Linked DNA regions of Alligator mississippiensis. The protein of the gene in region 1 interacts with the protein of each later gene in a biochemical or structural test. Links are inferred from orthologs where the notes say so. Each region holds a gene or a part of one and is shown in the gene's direction. Other genes may lie near its edges. The genes, in order: MIS18A and OIP5.

What was found.
Region 2: the proteins of MIS18A (region 1) and OIP5 form a complex in vitro, tested with the Homo sapiens proteins (3 studies listed by BioGRID). The link is inferred for Alligator mississippiensis from reciprocal best matches to the Homo sapiens genes MIS18A and OIP5.

The regions. Positions count from the first base shown.
Region 1 is NC_081824.1:291,156,487-291,164,993, reverse strand, and holds the start of MIS18A (protein Mis18-alpha), read left to right. Parts: upstream 1-4,601; 5' UTR 4,602-4,663; coding exon 4,664-4,904; intron 4,905-4,995; coding exon 4,996-5,062; intron 5,063-5,282; coding exon 5,283-5,405; intron 5,406-6,707; coding exon of another isoform or gene 6,708-6,834; exon of another isoform or gene 6,835-6,875; intron 6,876-7,364; coding exon 7,365-7,458; intron 7,459-8,507. Other genes in the region: MRAP (melanocortin-2 receptor accessory protein), read right to left, coding at 1,022-1,127. UniProt on the Homo sapiens protein: Required for recruitment of CENPA to centromeres and normal chromosome segregation during mitosis.
Region 2 is NC_081825.1:239,936,497-239,944,970, forward strand, and holds the start of OIP5 (protein Mis18-beta), read left to right. Parts: upstream 1-5,063; 5' UTR 5,064-5,294; coding exon 5,295-5,568; intron 5,569-7,009; coding exon 7,010-7,076; intron 7,077-8,474. Other genes in the region: NUSAP1 (nucleolar and spindle-associated protein 1), read right to left, coding at 4,738-4,959. UniProt on the Homo sapiens protein: Required for recruitment of CENPA to centromeres and normal chromosome segregation during mitosis.

The DNA.
Region 1 (8,507 bases):
AGTTCCATGGCATTTAAGGGCAGACAATTTAAAAAGAGGAGGAGGAAAACATAAAGATTTAGACAAGAGTTTTATATTTAAATAAAAATCAGGTACCATTTGAAATATGTAGCTCTAATTCCATTTCAGGGATTCTGCCCACTATGTAAATCATTTGGGGCCTGATTTGACAAAGCACTTAAGTACTTGCTAAATCAGTCACCAGAATGCCTCAATAATTTGATCAGTTATGTTGATTCAGACTACATTTAAAACTCAATATTTGGGGAAAACAAAGATTATTAGTCTCCAGGTTACATTAATATACTTGGATTTGGTGCATGACACTTAGTTTACCATCAACTAAAAATAAATATCTAAAAGGTACAGGGATCTAGTTCCCCTGCTGTGCAGTATTTTAAATACAGGATTCATAGTTCAACTTGCTTTTAAGTTTTCATAGCACTATGATAGCTGTTATAATGCATTATGAAATGATAGAGATCACGATGATGAGCTAAAGAGGAATGCCAGATTAAAGAAATAAGGAAATAAGTAGCAAATGTGTATTCAATTTGTGGCTCTTCCTAACTGATCAAAATACAGCTTCTTTTTCAATAATATATAAAAATGCACAAAAATTTCAGTGCAAACCTTGTATTTCAAGAAGGAAAGATAACTGGCAAATCTGTAAGCATATTAATCTATTGTTATTCTACTGTACAAAATAGCCAGGAATATGTCAAACCATTTATCTGCATTTCAGAACAATTTCCAGTTAATAAAGAGTTCAATAAGCTGTCTTTCCAATTAGGAGTTAATACCAAAATATTTCTAGAATATACATTCTTTATACTAAATAAAATAATATTGTACCATTAGCATCAGCTGGTATTAGAACCCAATCAGCATATATTGCCCAATATATGTATTCCAGTATGGTCTATATTACAAAGTGAAAACACATGTAAAAGAAACTAGTCATCCTATTCTGTTTTCTAATGCTTCCCATAGTAGATTAGCTGCTACATGTAGTACTTACATTTATGAACCTTCAACATCCTTCCATCTACTGGAAATGGATCAAAATAGTCCCAATAATATTCATAAGACCAGTAATACTCAGATGAGTTTGTTTTGTTAGCCATTTCAGTAGTATATTTCAATCAGCTCTGCTCTGATCTGATACTTTGTTTCATTGTACTTTGGAGTTCTCAAAAAGACACTGAGTACCTGATGCCTATGTAAATCATTCTGGAAGACCTCACATCCTGCAGCTCAAGGACTGCTCAGATACTAAAAAAACTTAGCAGAAATTAATATCAGCCTGTGACAGACATTTAATACTAAACTTATACACAGAGGGGGTTAGCCTTGTTAGTCTGAAGTCAGGCAGAAGCAGTGGCATACCAAAGGGAGTGAGGCATGGGGAGGCCATGCCCCTGGGTGCCGGACTGGTGGGGCAGGGGTACTCAGTCCCCTGGTGGCACTTCCAGTTTTGCCACTGGTGATTCCTGGCTTGGCAATTGGCCGCCGGGCCCTGCTCCCACTTAGCGTCTGGCTGTTGGGGGGACCCTCCCTCCCCACTTAGCGATCGGCCGTGGATTGGGGGGGTGCAAATGGAAGATCCATGGTACACCACTGGGCAGAAGGCAGGGAAGGGTGGCACCTGAGGGTGCCTGTACATGAGCTGGGAGGCTGCTCCAGTACACTGTAATTACAGCACATCGGAGCAGACTTGATACCAGCTGAAGCATGCTAATTAGTGTGCTCCAGCCAGCCTCCACGTCTCATGTATCAATGTCCTCGCACTACAAAATGATGGCGGGGACACTTTAACTAAAACTTGTTCAACAAGCTTTAGATAAAGCACCCCTGCCACTATTTTGAAGCATGGGGATGCTAATACATGAGATGCTCTGGGTGCTTTAATTAGAGCAGCTCTCAGAGCCCTCTCCCTCACCCCCGAACCATGTGAAAATGTCCTGAGAGACTAACTAGTTCAGAGCAGCATGAACATTTGTAGGCAACAAACTACTTTGTCAGATGCGTACCTTCTACCAAATTTATACGTGTCATCTACTGTTTAGGTAGAGAAATATGTACTACTTCCCATACTGTTTTATATTGATACAGATGCAAGGTAGACAGTAAAAGAATGAACAAAACCCAAGCTAAATTATAACTCGTCACAATGAGTGCCTAGCAACAACGAAAGAGATATTCTTGACCGGCCAAATATAAAATATACTAAAAACAATACTGAATATGTCATATACAGACCCCTAAAGGACCTCATGAAACACTTCATAAACATAAGGAAGTATTGAAGCAACTATACATTATGTATGAAATATTAAAAATGTTTGTGTTTTAACACCCCTTTGGTTCTGCCAAAAAACAACATAAAAATAGAGCCCCGCCCCATCAGCCTAGAAGCAAAATAGATTCATTTGTGTGCTAATAAATTAGATTGAGCATGTATGTTTATGTTTGTGAAGGCACTTCAAAGGTTGCCAAAAGTAACCTTTGAAGTGCCTACACTAATATAAACATACATGCTCAATCTAATTTATTAGCACAGAAATGACTAACATTAACAGAGAAACAGACCCTCTATTAGTTTTTAATTCTATCCCTAAGGACTATGAGATGCACCATGGCTTTTCAAATCAGAGATGGCAATTTATTCAGATGCAGGTCCTGGAAAACTTCATTCTCAAAGGAGACAGTCTGGTAATAGGTTTAGTCACTATAAAGCATCTGTCTAAACAATGCCACATTTTTTTTTTGCTCTGGAGCAAAGGAAATACAGTGGAAGTAGAATCTCTGCTAGCATTTCCAAAACAAACAAACTGTAAAGGAGCACTAAGGGGTAACGCATAGCATGTGCACGTGGGTGCATGTGCACCCCGTGAGCATGGCAGTGCGCCCCCTGCAAAAAGGGGGTGCAGTCCCTGCCACACCGCCGCCAGCCCATGATCACCCCTGGTCGCGGGTGGTCACTGACCTCTGGTCAGCACTCGTCACCCCTCCCCTGGCTGCCGACAGTGCCGGTGGCATCTGTGGGAGCTCCCCACTCACTGCTGCCAGGCTCCTGCTGCTGCCAGCGCAGCCGTGCCCCCCCCAGCTGCTGGGGACACGCGCTGTTCACGGGAGCACTTATTTTTAATGCGGGCTGGAAATTAGAAATAGAGCAGTTGGCATCAGGTTAGTTAAAATTAACTCTAGTCAAGATCAAAATATGCATCGATCTCTCTATCTTAGATCCTTCTGTGATCCACTTCGCAGCGAAGTATCTGAGCACCTTGCACTCTTCGACACACACATTTTCAGAACACTCCCTGCAAAGTAGAGAAGTAGTGTTTGCATTTGGTTGTTTGAAAACTGAGAAGTAAAGACTTCCACACAGACCCTACACTGTAACTGGATGTCTGAAGTCCACTGATTTCAGCAGGAGTTGGGTACAACCCTTTGAGGATCTGGGCCTCAGTGACTGGTCCAGGGTCACCAAAGAAATCTGTGGCAAAACAGAAATGGAACCCCGCAGATCAGGATAGTTCTTGGTCCATTCTTCCTTCCAGTATTTTGGGGGTTTACAAGCATACCGTTCTCTTCTTAAGAGAACATAGTGTTCTCCCCTTGGCTTTGTGAAATGCCTGTATAAACCAGGGAGACGAATGAATTGTAAAGAAGCTGTGGTAAGACTGACTCTGAATAAATGGGTATGGCATATACAAAGTAGGAAACAGAAACCAGGGAGGGAAGTAATTGTTCTCCCTTTGTCCTTCTGCTAGCCAGGCATCTTCAGGTGTTGGGAGGATGCCTGGCTAGCAGAAGGATGGCGGCATCACCCACATGTGCCACAGCTTGGGCTGCCCCCATGCCTGGGCCAGGCGGTCCCGCTGTGGGCTGCACACAAACAAAATGCCTTAGTAGACCGGATCTTGCCCACCCCCAGTCTATGAAAATGCCTGGCAGCGCTGATGGGGTGTCTGCCCTGCAAACATGTGGAAGGTAGGACTTTTATTTGTGGGTGTGGGTACTTGTTATTGGGCCAAACAGTGTCACCGACTCTCGTGATTTTTAGCGTTGTTCTTAACTTTGGGAATTTTTAAAAAGTAGCTCTCTCTCATATATAATGTTATACATAGTGTGTGTGTGTATATATTATATAAAATGTTATATTATACAGTGTGTGTGTGTGTGTGTGTGTGTATATATATACACACACACTATGTATAACATTTTATATAATATATATATAAAAGAAAAAGCTACGCTTTTCACGTTCCCGAAGTGTGGCCTTTAACAACGACTGCCCAAAATCATGAGAGTTGGCAATGCTGAAAGGCGGGCGAAGTCTTTGGGTGGAGGCAATATCTTTTATTAGACCAAATAAATAAATAAAACTCAATGTTACTGGATCAACGCCCAGTCCAGCCCCTCGGGCATGCGCATACCAGCCGTTCCCTTGCACTGACGCCCGAAACCCCTTATGGCCCGAACTGCAAGGGCGCCGGTCACGTGACGGGCAGAAAAGGGGCGGGGCGTACTCCTGTCCACTTCCGGAAGGGGAGGCGGGGCTGTGCCGTGGGGTTGAGGCTGCGGGTGCGTTGCTTCCGCTGCCGGCGCTCGCTGATTGGCTGGGGAGTGCCAGCGGCCGTTGGCCGGGTGGTTGGCTATGGCGGGCGGGCCGTTTGTACCGCCGGGCGTGGCGCTGGACTCGCAGCTGTCCGTGCTGGGGCTAGACAGCAGCTGCGGGCCCGAGGCGGCGGCGGCGGGGCGGAACGGTGGGGGGGAAGTGGAGGAGGAGGGGCAGGAGCTGCCTATGGTGTTTCTCTGCGCCGGCTGCAAGCGGCCGGTGGGCGACACGCTGAGCTGGGAGGCCAACGACGAGGAGGGGTCCTGTGTCATGCTGCGCAGTGAGTCCTGCCCTGCATCAACCCCGTCCCCCTCATCCCTGTCTGCCCGACCGTTGGGGGGCGGTTGGTGACGGTTGGCTTTCCCTTGCAGATGTCACTTCCAACGTGCTGGTGGATAAGGAGCAGAAGCTGTCCAGCCGGCCCGGCGAGTACGGCTGGTGAGTGACCCCTGCGGGGGCCGGCTCAGGGGATGGCTACCGTAGGGGGCAGAGCCAGTTGGATACATTTGAGACCTCTTAGCTGTGCTCTCTGTTTGTATAAGATGTCCGCAGTGGGGGTGGATGCGGGAAGGCCAGAAGTGGGTATTTGACTAATCTTGGTCATCCTAAAAATTCTTCTCGACGTCTGCTAATTTAGTGATAAGTATTTTGCTTGTAGCATGATTGAAACGCTGCTCTGCTCTGGGTGCTCAGTGAATCTTGGGACCATCTACAGATGCACCCCCAAACACCTGGACTATAAGAGAGATTTATTCTGTTTCAGCGTTGACGCTATTGAAAGGTAAGACCATAGTTCAGGGACTGGCAAAGTCTGGCCTGCAAGCCGGGTCCAGTCGGCTGTGGACTCCAGCTCCCAGCCGCCCCTGCCTGCATGGCTTGAGCCGGTCTCCATGGTGACCCCAGCCGCACCTGCACAGGAAAGCTCAGGCTAGGGTTGTCATGCAGACCAGCCTGAGCCATGTTGGCAGCATGTGTGACAGAGCTCTTGGGATCTTGTGATGGGGGCAGTTTGCTCCAGAGCTAGGGCAGAGCCATGATCTGTAGCCTGCACACTCTGAGCAGGGGATTGTGGCTGTGCCCTGGCTCCAGAACAGGCTGTCGCTGCTTCTAAGAGCTGGGCCTGAGCCACAATCCCCTGCCTGCACGCCTCTGCCTGGAGTGTGCAGGCTGCAGATCACGGCTCTCCTGGCTCTGGAGCAAGCTGCCCCCATCCCGTGTTCCCAGCAGCTCTGGAGCAGCCCCCTGCGCTGCTCTGCCACACATGCTGTTGGTGCGGCTCAGGCTGGTCTCCATGACAACAACCCCAGCCTGCCCTTCTACAGGGGCTGGGGTCTCCATGGAGAACCGCCCTAGCCATGAGGGCAGGGGCTGCTGGGAAATGGAGTCTGGCTGCTGGCGTGGTCATTTTGCCCACCCCTGCCACAGTTCCTCTTGTCAGGTAAGCGTGCAAGTGTTTTTGCCTTTTAATTTGATTGCTTCACTGTCAGAAATGGAGGATGTTTCTCTATTCAGGAGTTTACAACACTCGTGAAAGGGTAGGGATGGTTACTGGTTGCTTCTCTGTACTCCTTTAGTTTAAGAAATGTATTTTCTGTTTTTGCTGTCTATGTTGGAATGCTCGATATATGGAAAGATTCTGCATTTGATGTGGGGTAATCCCTGATAGTTTCATAACTTAGGTGTTCATTCATGAAATAGTTCAAATACATCGAGTGTCATTACATACACAAGACTGGAATACGGTGTCTTGGCTGCAATCCTACCCAGAAGTCTGTGTATGTAAAGACCAAGTATCAAGGTATCAAATTAGACCTAGGTGAAGACAAGCCTTTAGATATGTGGTTCTCAACCTAGGTGCCATGTGATCCTTTTAAAGGTGCTGTGGGGCACTGCAGTGCTAGCAAAGTTAAGTGCACAAACACCCACACATTTCACAAAATAAACCCAGAGATTTAAAATAGGAATCCAGTGTCAAAAACCTTCTGACCTGGTGTGATCTTTCTGTGTGTGTTGCAACAGAAGAATTGCTCTTTCAGTCATTTTTCTCTAGTTAAAAACTGACTGATATTCATTTTTTAAATAGGGTACCACTTGATTCAGGTTATGAAGGGATGTTTCGAGTCTTAAAAATGTTGAGAACTACTGCTTTGGAGGAAATGCGTCTTAACTACCCGTCTAAGGACAAAGTTAGCATGCTGAAAACTGGGTGAAGAAATACACCTTTTGGCTTCCTTGGGCTTAAATCTGGAAGGTCAGGATTGATATACCTACAGCATTAAAACCTGGCTTTCTGTAGTGTTATTAAACAGAAGGTTTTAAAATATTTTTCAGTAATTAAATCTTGGATCAATTATGTTAGCTCTTTGAATGATGTTGCTCTTTGTTCCTGTTCTCATTAACTTAGGGATTGGTTGGTTAGGTGACACTTCCGATTCAGAAGTTTGAATAGCGTCATCCACTTTTTTTGTTTTTACATGTTTTTATTCCCCCTGCGCTATGTTATCCCTGTAGTTCATTCTCTTTCTTCATGTTAATTTGTATCGGTGACAATAGGGAATTCTTGTATGCTTGTTGTATAATAGGTCTACAAAACTACATTTTCTTCTTGGCTTACAGATTGACAAACTAGCACCATCCTCTATTTCATCTAATTGCATTGACTGGTGTTATAAAAATGCCAGGTATGTGTGGTTATTTCTCATTTTGACTGAATATTACATAATTAAATATTTTATATCAGTTACATCCTAGGATCATCAGAAAAGCAAGCTGTAACTGAGGAGGAGCCTTTAACTCTTCAAAGTCGAGGTAGCTTGGAAGAGGCACTAGAAAGGGTAAGATTTAGTTTTTAAGCTGGTAAAAGTTCATTACAACTGTGAAAACATCCATACAGTGTCTCTACATAACTGCTTCTAATTTCAGCCAGTTTCAGAAAGTTAGATGTTCAGAAAACTTTCCTCCCAAGAACAGTTCTGACAAAAACAAAAGTTGCTAATTAAATGCATCTCTGGATTTCTGGCCACCTTTCTTTATAACGAGGAAGAGCACTTGTCTCCAGAGGTTCTGGTCCCTAAGTTTTCCATGCCTTAAGAATTCACGTTCATATGTAAACCAACTTTAAAATCTTCTGATATACAGAATTACAAAATAGAAACTATAGAAATGGGGTTTTTTTTGTAAATGTGACTTCTGAGTTTATGTAGAATTATGGAGGAACTAGGGGGATAAGCTGTAATTCAGATCTACTCTGAAAGGAGGCTGTATGTAAGGGGGAAAAAAAAGTAGTGAAATTGTGTTGCCAAGTGTCCAGATGCCTCTAGGATTGTGGTGGAGGCAATCATAGGTTGTTTAAATCAATTGCACAAAGCTTTGAACTTTCTTTTAGATGGAAAAAGATTGAAACAAAAGTATCTAGACCATAAATGAATTGCTTCTATTTCTTAGGTTGTTTCTGACACCTTGAAAGCAACCCATAAATGAAATTGAAAATAAAATATTATATTTTTTATCAGTGAAATACAGCCTAATTTCCTCTCTCATAGTTCAGACTTTCCTCCTTATACAGCAGTGGGACATTTAACCACCAAGTTTTCATTTCGTATGTATTGTCCCAATATCTAATAACTGTACAGAGAACCCTACAGTCCATCTTCTTTTGCTGATAAAGCATTGTTAAATAATGATTTGGAAATCAGGATAATATCTGTTCTTGTATACCTGTATTTACTCAAATCCCAGATGAGGTTCCTTCTCCCCAAACAACATGGGAGGGGAGTGGAGAAGGGGAGGGAAGAATAGTTTTAGATTGAGTATGGGCTGAGGCAGGCAGCTACTGCAGCCCCACCTCTGGGCCCAGAGTAAAACTGGAGCTTAGTAGCCACCT
Region 2 (8,474 bases), on another chromosome or scaffold:
AGAGCTGTCACAGAGGAAAGGTTTGTCTGGCTAGTATACAAGCTTCACCCTGTGGTTCTCTCTTGAATGTCAGCAGCCTGGAGGTCAAGGGCCAAGGTTCATCTCCACTAATGGGGTGGGCGAAACGGGCTAGTGGTGTGCCCTCTGTCCTTTGCTGCTCTGAAATCTCTCCTTTATTTTTCCTTCTCCTGATGACTCCATTTCCGGCTACCATTGATTGGTTTTCCTGCTGTCATCACACTATCCACATTTTGTTCTGTCAACATATTCCTTGTTTCCCCAAACCCATCACATTCAAACATCTTAATTTGGTCATTTACCCATGTCTTAACTGGGGCATGACCCAGCCTCCCAATTTGGTCCTCCCACCATAACTGGAAATCCCAGGACTCTGCAGCTGATCACCATAACCTGGCTCCAATGCAGCAAGCCTATCTTACGTCATGGGACAGTGTTCAAATTTCCCAGCCGGTTTATGCCCACTTGTCTGCTGGTCTTAGACACAGTGGGCACATCTATATGAGATGCTATGTCACCATAGCTACAGCGACATAGCTTGTTGCTACAGCAACAGTGTCAGTGGGCATGAACTGTGACAGCGCTGCTACTGTGTAGTAGTGATGAGCGACTACCCAGTAGGGTCAGAAATGACCTGTGCAGTGCCAGGACTGCACAGTACCAGCAGTTATTTAGTAAGTACTAAATTTCTGTAATATTGCTCAAACTCTGTCTCAGTGAACTCAAAACTACTAAATGCTTTAGAATCAGCTAGATTTCTTTCTGAATTACGTTCAGAGTCTTCCTCTTCACTGGCATGCCTGACTTACAGATAGAAAGTAAAGTAAGAAACAGCAGATCCCAATAGGCTCAATGCCAGTGTTTCTTAAAGGTACAGTTCTCCACAGTGTAGTTATACTCTTAGTTTTCCCCAAGTAGCAAAACTGAAAACTGATAATTTTTGTGAGTATTGTTGCTTTCTTTATATAACAGGTAATCTAAAATAGCAGTACTCAACCCTTTGGTCCTTGAGACCAAACGAGTGGTACAGAGCTGATCTGTGGGCTAATCAGACCCTGCACCTCAGGATCATGCCCACACACCCAGATCTGGACTGTCACCTCTGCCCAGCCCCACATACAAGGATCAGGGCCCCACATCATCCCTTCATCTGGCCCCACATGCCAAGATTGCCCCCCCCATGTGTCCAATCTAGGACATAGTGCCACAGCCCACCAGGCTCCCCATAGACCCATAAGGAGCCCCACAGGTTGGATGGCAAGGCACCAGGAGCCAGATATGGCCCATGAGCTGCAGCTTGAATATCCCAATCTAGAAGATCTAATGGTTCTTTCCAAGACCACCAATTCTATGGTCCCGATTGCAAATTCAGATAACATGGGAACAACAAAGAACTCTAGCAAGATTTAAGCCAAGGACATCAAATAGTTCCAGCCCCACAGGGATCAAGCTCACAGACCAGCTGCACACACCAGAGCCAGGAAGCAGGGTTGGTCTGGTGCAGGCACCTCATGCACTTAAGCAGCATGCAGTGGCCCTGGGCCAGGGCTCACAGAGCAGGCATGAGGTACTTAATGCATGAAGTGTCCCTGTCAAACTGGCCCTGTATGCTGGCTCCAGTGTGTAGGGTCAGTCTGTGGCCCTGATCCAAACTGGCCCCAGATATAGTGCACAGGCCCAGTCTGGAGGGGCACTGCAGGAAGCATGTGCTACAGATTGGCCCCATGTGCTCTGCCTGCATTCAGTCCAACCCCACACACCACATGCAGCACATGCTGGCCCTGGTCCAGGGTTCATACTGCAAGCAAGCCCAGCATGGGGCATGTACTGCATGTGGTGCCCATTCTGGACCAGCCCTACACACTGGCTCCAGCATACAGGGATGGTCTGTAGGTCCAATCCAGACTAGCCCAGAGCTAGTGCCCAGGGCTGGTCTTCTGTGGGAACTGCATGCAACATGTACCCAAGACTGACCCCCTGTGCTACATGAGGCACTGGGGCTAGTGTGTGCCACATGTGGTATGTGGGGATTGGCCCAAGACCCACAGACCAGATCATAGAGCTCCACAGGTCAGATTCAGCCCATTGACTGTTTAAATTAGTGGGGGGGGGGGGGGGGGTCAAAGATTCAAAGACACGTTCAGGCATGGGAGATGGCATGAGATGGAAAGTCTGATGGTTATTTATTTGAGATGAGGGCTACAGCTTTATAACAAACTAGCCAATTACCGGTCACAAATGACCGGGGAGAGGGGGCTGGGATGGTGTCCCACCACCTAACGCCCCATGCTGCCGCAGTTCTGCCTCTTGCAAGGAGCAGGGTGGGGGCCTCAGCTCCCCACCCTCTGTCCAGTCCTCTGCCTGGCTTTGGAATCACAGCGGTGCTCCCCCACGCTTGGAGCACTCCGATTGACTGTTTCTGTCAGCCAATCACAGCGTGAATAAAGCGTTACCGACAGACTTAGGCTTTTATATTAGAATATTTGCCATCATAGTTATATCAATAGGAGGAGGATGACATGTGAAAAACATTGCTTGCAAAAGCCAGGTGCATCTCTACCCTGCCTTCTGCCTGACTTCAGGCTAATGGGCTAACAGCCTCTCAGAAGTCGCTGGCGCAGAAGCAGTTATTCATTGTTCATTTTCAAAATTGTTCGTTTGCTGGTATATCTTATTTTCATTTGGTCAGGGAACATTCCTTTGCTAAACCCACATACTGAGTATAATACTGATCTTAGCCTAACAGCCAAGAAGCAGCCTTTGACACTATGCGACTCAGTCATAGGAGCCACATAAGCAGTCACTGTTGACTAGAGAGCTGTAAAATAAGCACCTTTAGGTAAACTGCAACAAGGACACTCCAGTTCAAAATCAATTTCAGTGAAGAGCCAGCATGGGTATCACTGGACTTGTACATCTGTTCTGGCAAAGCTCTAACTGTAAACCTGCTCCCAGCCAGAGGCTTATTCTCAGGGAACCTTAGGTTACCACCATGAGATAGTAGAACACACGGTAGACATGCACATTAACTGCTTTAAAATTGCTTCCCTAATTGTTCTGTCTAATAAATAAACAGTAAGTCTCTTTTGAGCAGCTTTGACTCCCTGTAAACAGCACTAATAGCAGATTCCCAAAAAGAAGACAGGGCAGGGTGACACCTTAGAGACTAAGCGATTCAGAGGCTTTTGTAGGAGGCATGGAAAATACTTAATAAGATGCTATGAATAGACTGCTGGATGCCAGTTATGTCTTCTCAAACACAGACCACATCCCCACTGGACCAAACATAATGAATTATAACATCTGGGGTTTATTCCTCTATTCTTCCACCAACAACTTACATACCATCACCAGCTTACAGTGCTTACATCAGCCAGATAAAGGCAATTCCTAGGCAAAAGAATGAACAGACATCTAGCCCAGAAACTTAATGAAAGCTGGTGGCCAAACACCTCAGCCTCCTCTGACACCTCACGACTGGCCCGAGGAGCTCTTCTTAAAACAACATTTTAAATTCCCACTTCAACATAATAATTGCAGCACAAGAAGTCAGCGGCAGGCAGGACTACCTCAGCCACTGTCTCAAAGGGGACTGGCGTTTCTTATCCCATTACCTGAACTGGCTGCTTCCTCTGGTGTCCCTCCAGCTGGGAGTGAGCTGCCTCCATCTCCAGGGAGCCAATCCATCGGCTGTCAGCTTCTCTGGGCAGCCCCCCTCTCCTCACCTTTCTATTTAAATACATCTTGCTTGTGTGTCATGGAATAGTACCCTGAACATTTATGTAATATTGCTCAAACTCTACTGCCTCTTCCCTGGCACACCTGGCTTGCAGATAGAAAGCACAGTAAGAAACAACAAATCCCAATAGGCCCAATGCCAGAGCTTCTTAAAGGCACAGTTATCCAGTTTCAGGGATACAGGCTGTAGCCTATTGGTCTCTATGCTGGCAAAAGGAATTATAACTCATGGCAGACTTTTGTTAGACCAACTAGATATTTGCAAAAAATTTTTTTACTGAAACCTGAAAGCTGACACCCTGGTTTCTGCCTATTGTTGTTCCAGATAAATCTGCATCTTCACAGAGCTCAAAGCTGCCTCGGCACAAGATCTATGAATCTAAGAGAAATTCCTTGCCCAGGAGACCAGTCCATCACCGCCCTCCTGTGAGAGATGAAATGTCATCACTGGAAGGAAACATAATTCAACATCCTGCTTGACTCCAGACAGCACCGAGATAAAATGGGCTGTTCTAACTTCCACCTAAGCCTAATTTGCCAAAATTAACTATTCCAGCCAGGAGATCTTGCACCACCTTCTGCTCTCCTGCGAAATACGAATTTTCATTTCCACCGCGGAGAAACTTTACAACCTTTTCCCTCTCCTATGAGAATAAAGACAGATGCTTGCAAATATCTAAAAGAGACCACCTCTGCCAAGAGTTCCGACCCCAGTTCTCCGCCGTGTACTTGCACCCATAGCTTTCCTGCCGCCGCGCCTGAGACCCAGGAGACAGCTCCCGCCTCTTGGGACTCGGCTCGAGGTGACCCCGGGCTCCCGCAGCAAGGACCTGCGGGCGCACCGCCGGCGAAGGAGGACCGCGGCGCACACCGGGGCTGAGCACTCGACGAGGCACCGGGGCCCGGCCCCGCGCTACTACCGCCCCGGCACCTACGAGGCAGGAACACCTCCCAGCTCCCCTCCCGGGGCCCCGCTCCCACCTTGAGATTAGCGCGGAGTCCAGCGACCTTGGCCACCTGTTGCAGCTCACAATACTTGAGCGACTCCAACGGGCGCAGGGAGAGCGGCTCCATGATGGCGACGGCCCGGTCCGAGCCGCACTGAATAATCCCTACGCCGCGCGTCAACCGTCCGCTTTGAATCCGGCGCTCAACAGCCCGTCCCCGCCCCCCGTTCGAACTGGCGCTGTCCGGCTCTCCCATTGGCAGAACTGCCACGAGAGGCGGGTGCCTTAGGCAAAGCTCCGACCAATGGGGCTCCGGCGGCGCGGGTTTGTTTTTTTTCGAACGGCCTGGACTGAAAGCCCCGCCCGGCGCTACATCCTCACGATCTGATTGGACAGCAGGATGACGACAGTAGAGGAGGACTCCCTCAGGCAAGCGGCGTGGGCGTGCGGAGACAGTAAGAGAGAGAGGGAGGAGTGAGGGGAGAGATTGAGGTGTGTGGCTGCCAATGCGAGTGCAGGGCTGGGAGGCAGGCACCCAATCGAGGGAGGGGAGGTGCATTCGAACGCGCGGCAGGAGCCGGGTGCGAGAAGATGGCGGTGCGGCGGAGGCTGCTGCAGCAGTTCTTCCAGGACCCTGAGATCGACGGTGCCATCATGGTGGAGCGGCCGGCGGCGGCGGCCCCCGCGGGCAGCGCGCGGAAGGCAGCGGCGGAGGCGAGCACCGGGGCGGCGGCTCTGCGGCGGCGCCGGTTGCGGCCGCAGGACTGCGCCGTGTTCCAGTGTCGGGGCTGCTACGCCGTGCTGAGCGACTCGCTACACCTGTGCGCTCAGGAGGAGCGGCGCCTCCGCGTCCTCGCCTGCTTCAGTGAGTGCCGGCGGGGCGAGGGCCCGAGCCCGGGCCCGGCCTCGGAGCCCATTGCCTGCCTCCTAGCGAAGCTCGGACTGTCCGGGGCACTGGGCTGTGCTCGCTGCGGGGCCGCCGGGCTGAGCGCTCCGGGACAACGACACTCCCCCTGGGATCTCGCGGATGGGTGAGCAGGCGGGCGCACCTGGCCCTGCGCCCGCTGTCGGGGCCTGCCTGGGACAAGCCAGGCTCATCCGTGCTAGTTGGCACGCAGGCTTCCTGTCAGGGATTGCCCTGATGAGTCAAGCCCCCTCTGGGACCTCTCCGCTGTCTTCAGCCTGAGCCCCCGGGATCCCAGGGTAAACTGCTTTGTCCCAGAGTAAACCTCTCCTCTGGTTTTAGCCTGCCCCAGGCTGGTGGCAGGTGCCTGGTGCCCCACAGTATGGTACAGGTGTATCCAGGTGGGAGTTAGCTGCTTCCTGGTAGCCCCCCTCCTCCTCTGCAGCAAGGCAGAGCCCATGAGCATCTAGGTCTCTCCTTCAGGGAAGAGAGAGCTTCAACAGATGCACTCCTCTTTTTACCAGGGACTCACAGCGGTTACTATGGAGCTGGTGTGCCTCAGCTGTGCCCTGCTAGTTGAGTCTGTGGTCTTAGCTTTCCCATGCACCCCTCCCAGGCAGGCACAGCTCCAGTTCTTATTTCACCATCTCAAAGTCTGTCTCAGCTGCCCAGTGATTTTATGCAGTGCAGTTATACAACAGCTGCGGGGGTTGGAAAGTCCTGCGCATCTTTATCCTGGTCCAGGTTGCCTTGTATGTCCATGTCCTTTAGGCGTAGGGCACTTTTTTGCTCTGTTTCTTTAAAAACGGAGCTATCCAGCTTCTTGATGCCATAGATTTTGTTGGCAAACAAGCCCCACTGGCCCCAGGAGGCTATTTTGGCTGCCTGGTATGGCTGCTCCCTGGGTGAGGATGTCAACCACAGGCTACTGTATGAAAAAGGTGATCACATCTGGAAGTGGCTCCAGCTGCTGTGCTATGTGCTGAATGCAATGCTGACAGCGTGAGAGAGGCACGCTGGGCCTGTCTGCTGGATTCACAAATTGGGTATCCCCGGTGGCTGTAGGCTTATGTTGGGTACCAGACTGGCACTTCTATCATTGCGTAGTAGTAGACTTTTGGGCACCTCAGTAGGTGTGGAGAGGTTTTGTGGACTGTGCTCTTAGGCCTGGGCTTTTGAAGTGCATCTTAAGGCTTCTTGGATCTGGCCATAACTTTCTCCTAAATCAACAGATGTTAGAAACATGGAGATGGATCAGTATGTTTCCATTAAAACAAAGATTAAACAAATGTGACTCCTCCCAAGCCTATATACAGGAAGTCCAGAACTCAGTTATCTTAAGGGGAAATGGAAATTTTAATGAATGATCTGTGGTATATGACTCTGGATTTGTCTTTCTCAGAAGTTACAGAAGATGTTGTTCTAGAAGATTCCTTAAGAGTTGGTATTGACGGGTCCCTCCTAGGATGGTAGGTATTTCAAATACTGTTTCTTGGTTTTGATACCAGTTTTCTGTTTGAGATGCTGACCTAGTAGAGCAGGTGAGGGTTATTGTGGTGCCTCTGACTTCAAACAAGTCATCTGGAGAAACATTTTTAAAATCACTAGCTTACTCTTGGATGGGCTTACAAAACTGACAAATACTTAGTTTGGTTTCGGACCTGCCTACTGTAGTCTCTTACTGAAAAAAGCCTTTGCAAATCTACAGCATACGTTCCATTCCTTTCTTCCCCTTTCACATGCATCTAGACATTTGCTATATTTGAAGTAGGGAGAACATTTGAACAATTCTAATATAATAAAAGCGTCTGTCTGTCACACTCCAGGACAACTGCGCATGCACTGAGAGGGCACGCATCAATTGGCTGGGAGGGTCTGGAGTGTTACGGACAGGGAGCGAGGTAGCTGCCGCAGTACCCCGGCCAACAACAGCCTGTGGGGGGTAGGTGGCAGGGAAGAGGGTTGGGGGGAGGTTTCCAGTGGCAGCTGGCAATTTGCTAGCTGTAAAAAGAAACGGTATCTCCCCCATCCCCCACAAAGTCTGGGGGGTTGTGTGTGATGGGGAGAGGGAGAGAGCGTATGTTTTGGTTCTGATACCTTTTTTTGTGCTGAAAGTGAACAACTATTTATGAATCAATTGGTATAAGCAAGTCTCTAGACCAGGGGTCAGCAACCCCCGGCATGCGTGCTGAGCATGGCACATGAGGCTATTTTGCTCAGCACGCCACATCAGCTCCGTACCAACGCGTGCACCCACGTGTCGGAGCGGGTGGTGGGGTGGAACCTGAGGCAGCGCAGCCCCAGTTTCTCGCCTGCTCCTGGCACAGAGGTGATAGCAGGGTTCCAGAGCCCGGCGCAGCTGTTTGCAGCCAGCCTGGGCTCTGGGCAGCTGCAGCAAGCAGGGGGCAGGCTGCAAACAGCTGCACCAGGCTCCATAGCTCCAGCATCAGCTCTGTGCTGGCGGTGACTGCACGGGCACCTTGGGCAGGCTCTGCTGCCCCACTGTCTGCTCTGAGTGCGCATGCACTCACCACCAGGATGGAGCTGATGCTGGAGCTGTGGAGCCCAGCTCAGATGTTTGTACCCTGCCAGCTGCTTGCTGCAGCTGCACAGGGTAGGAGGGCTGGGGGGCAGGGGCTTTGGAGGGGGCACAGAACTGGGGGGCAGGGGGGGCAAGGGGCACAAACAGGGCATTCTATGTACCCCTTGCCCTCATTTTGTTTTTCTGGCATGCCAGCACTCTGGCACCTTGCAAGGTAGGCATTGTGGTGTTTTTCGGCGCTTTGGCCAAAAAACATTGCCTACCCCTGCTCTAGACGATTAGTTCTCAGCCTTTTTAGACTCAAGGCACCCCTCCATGACTGTTA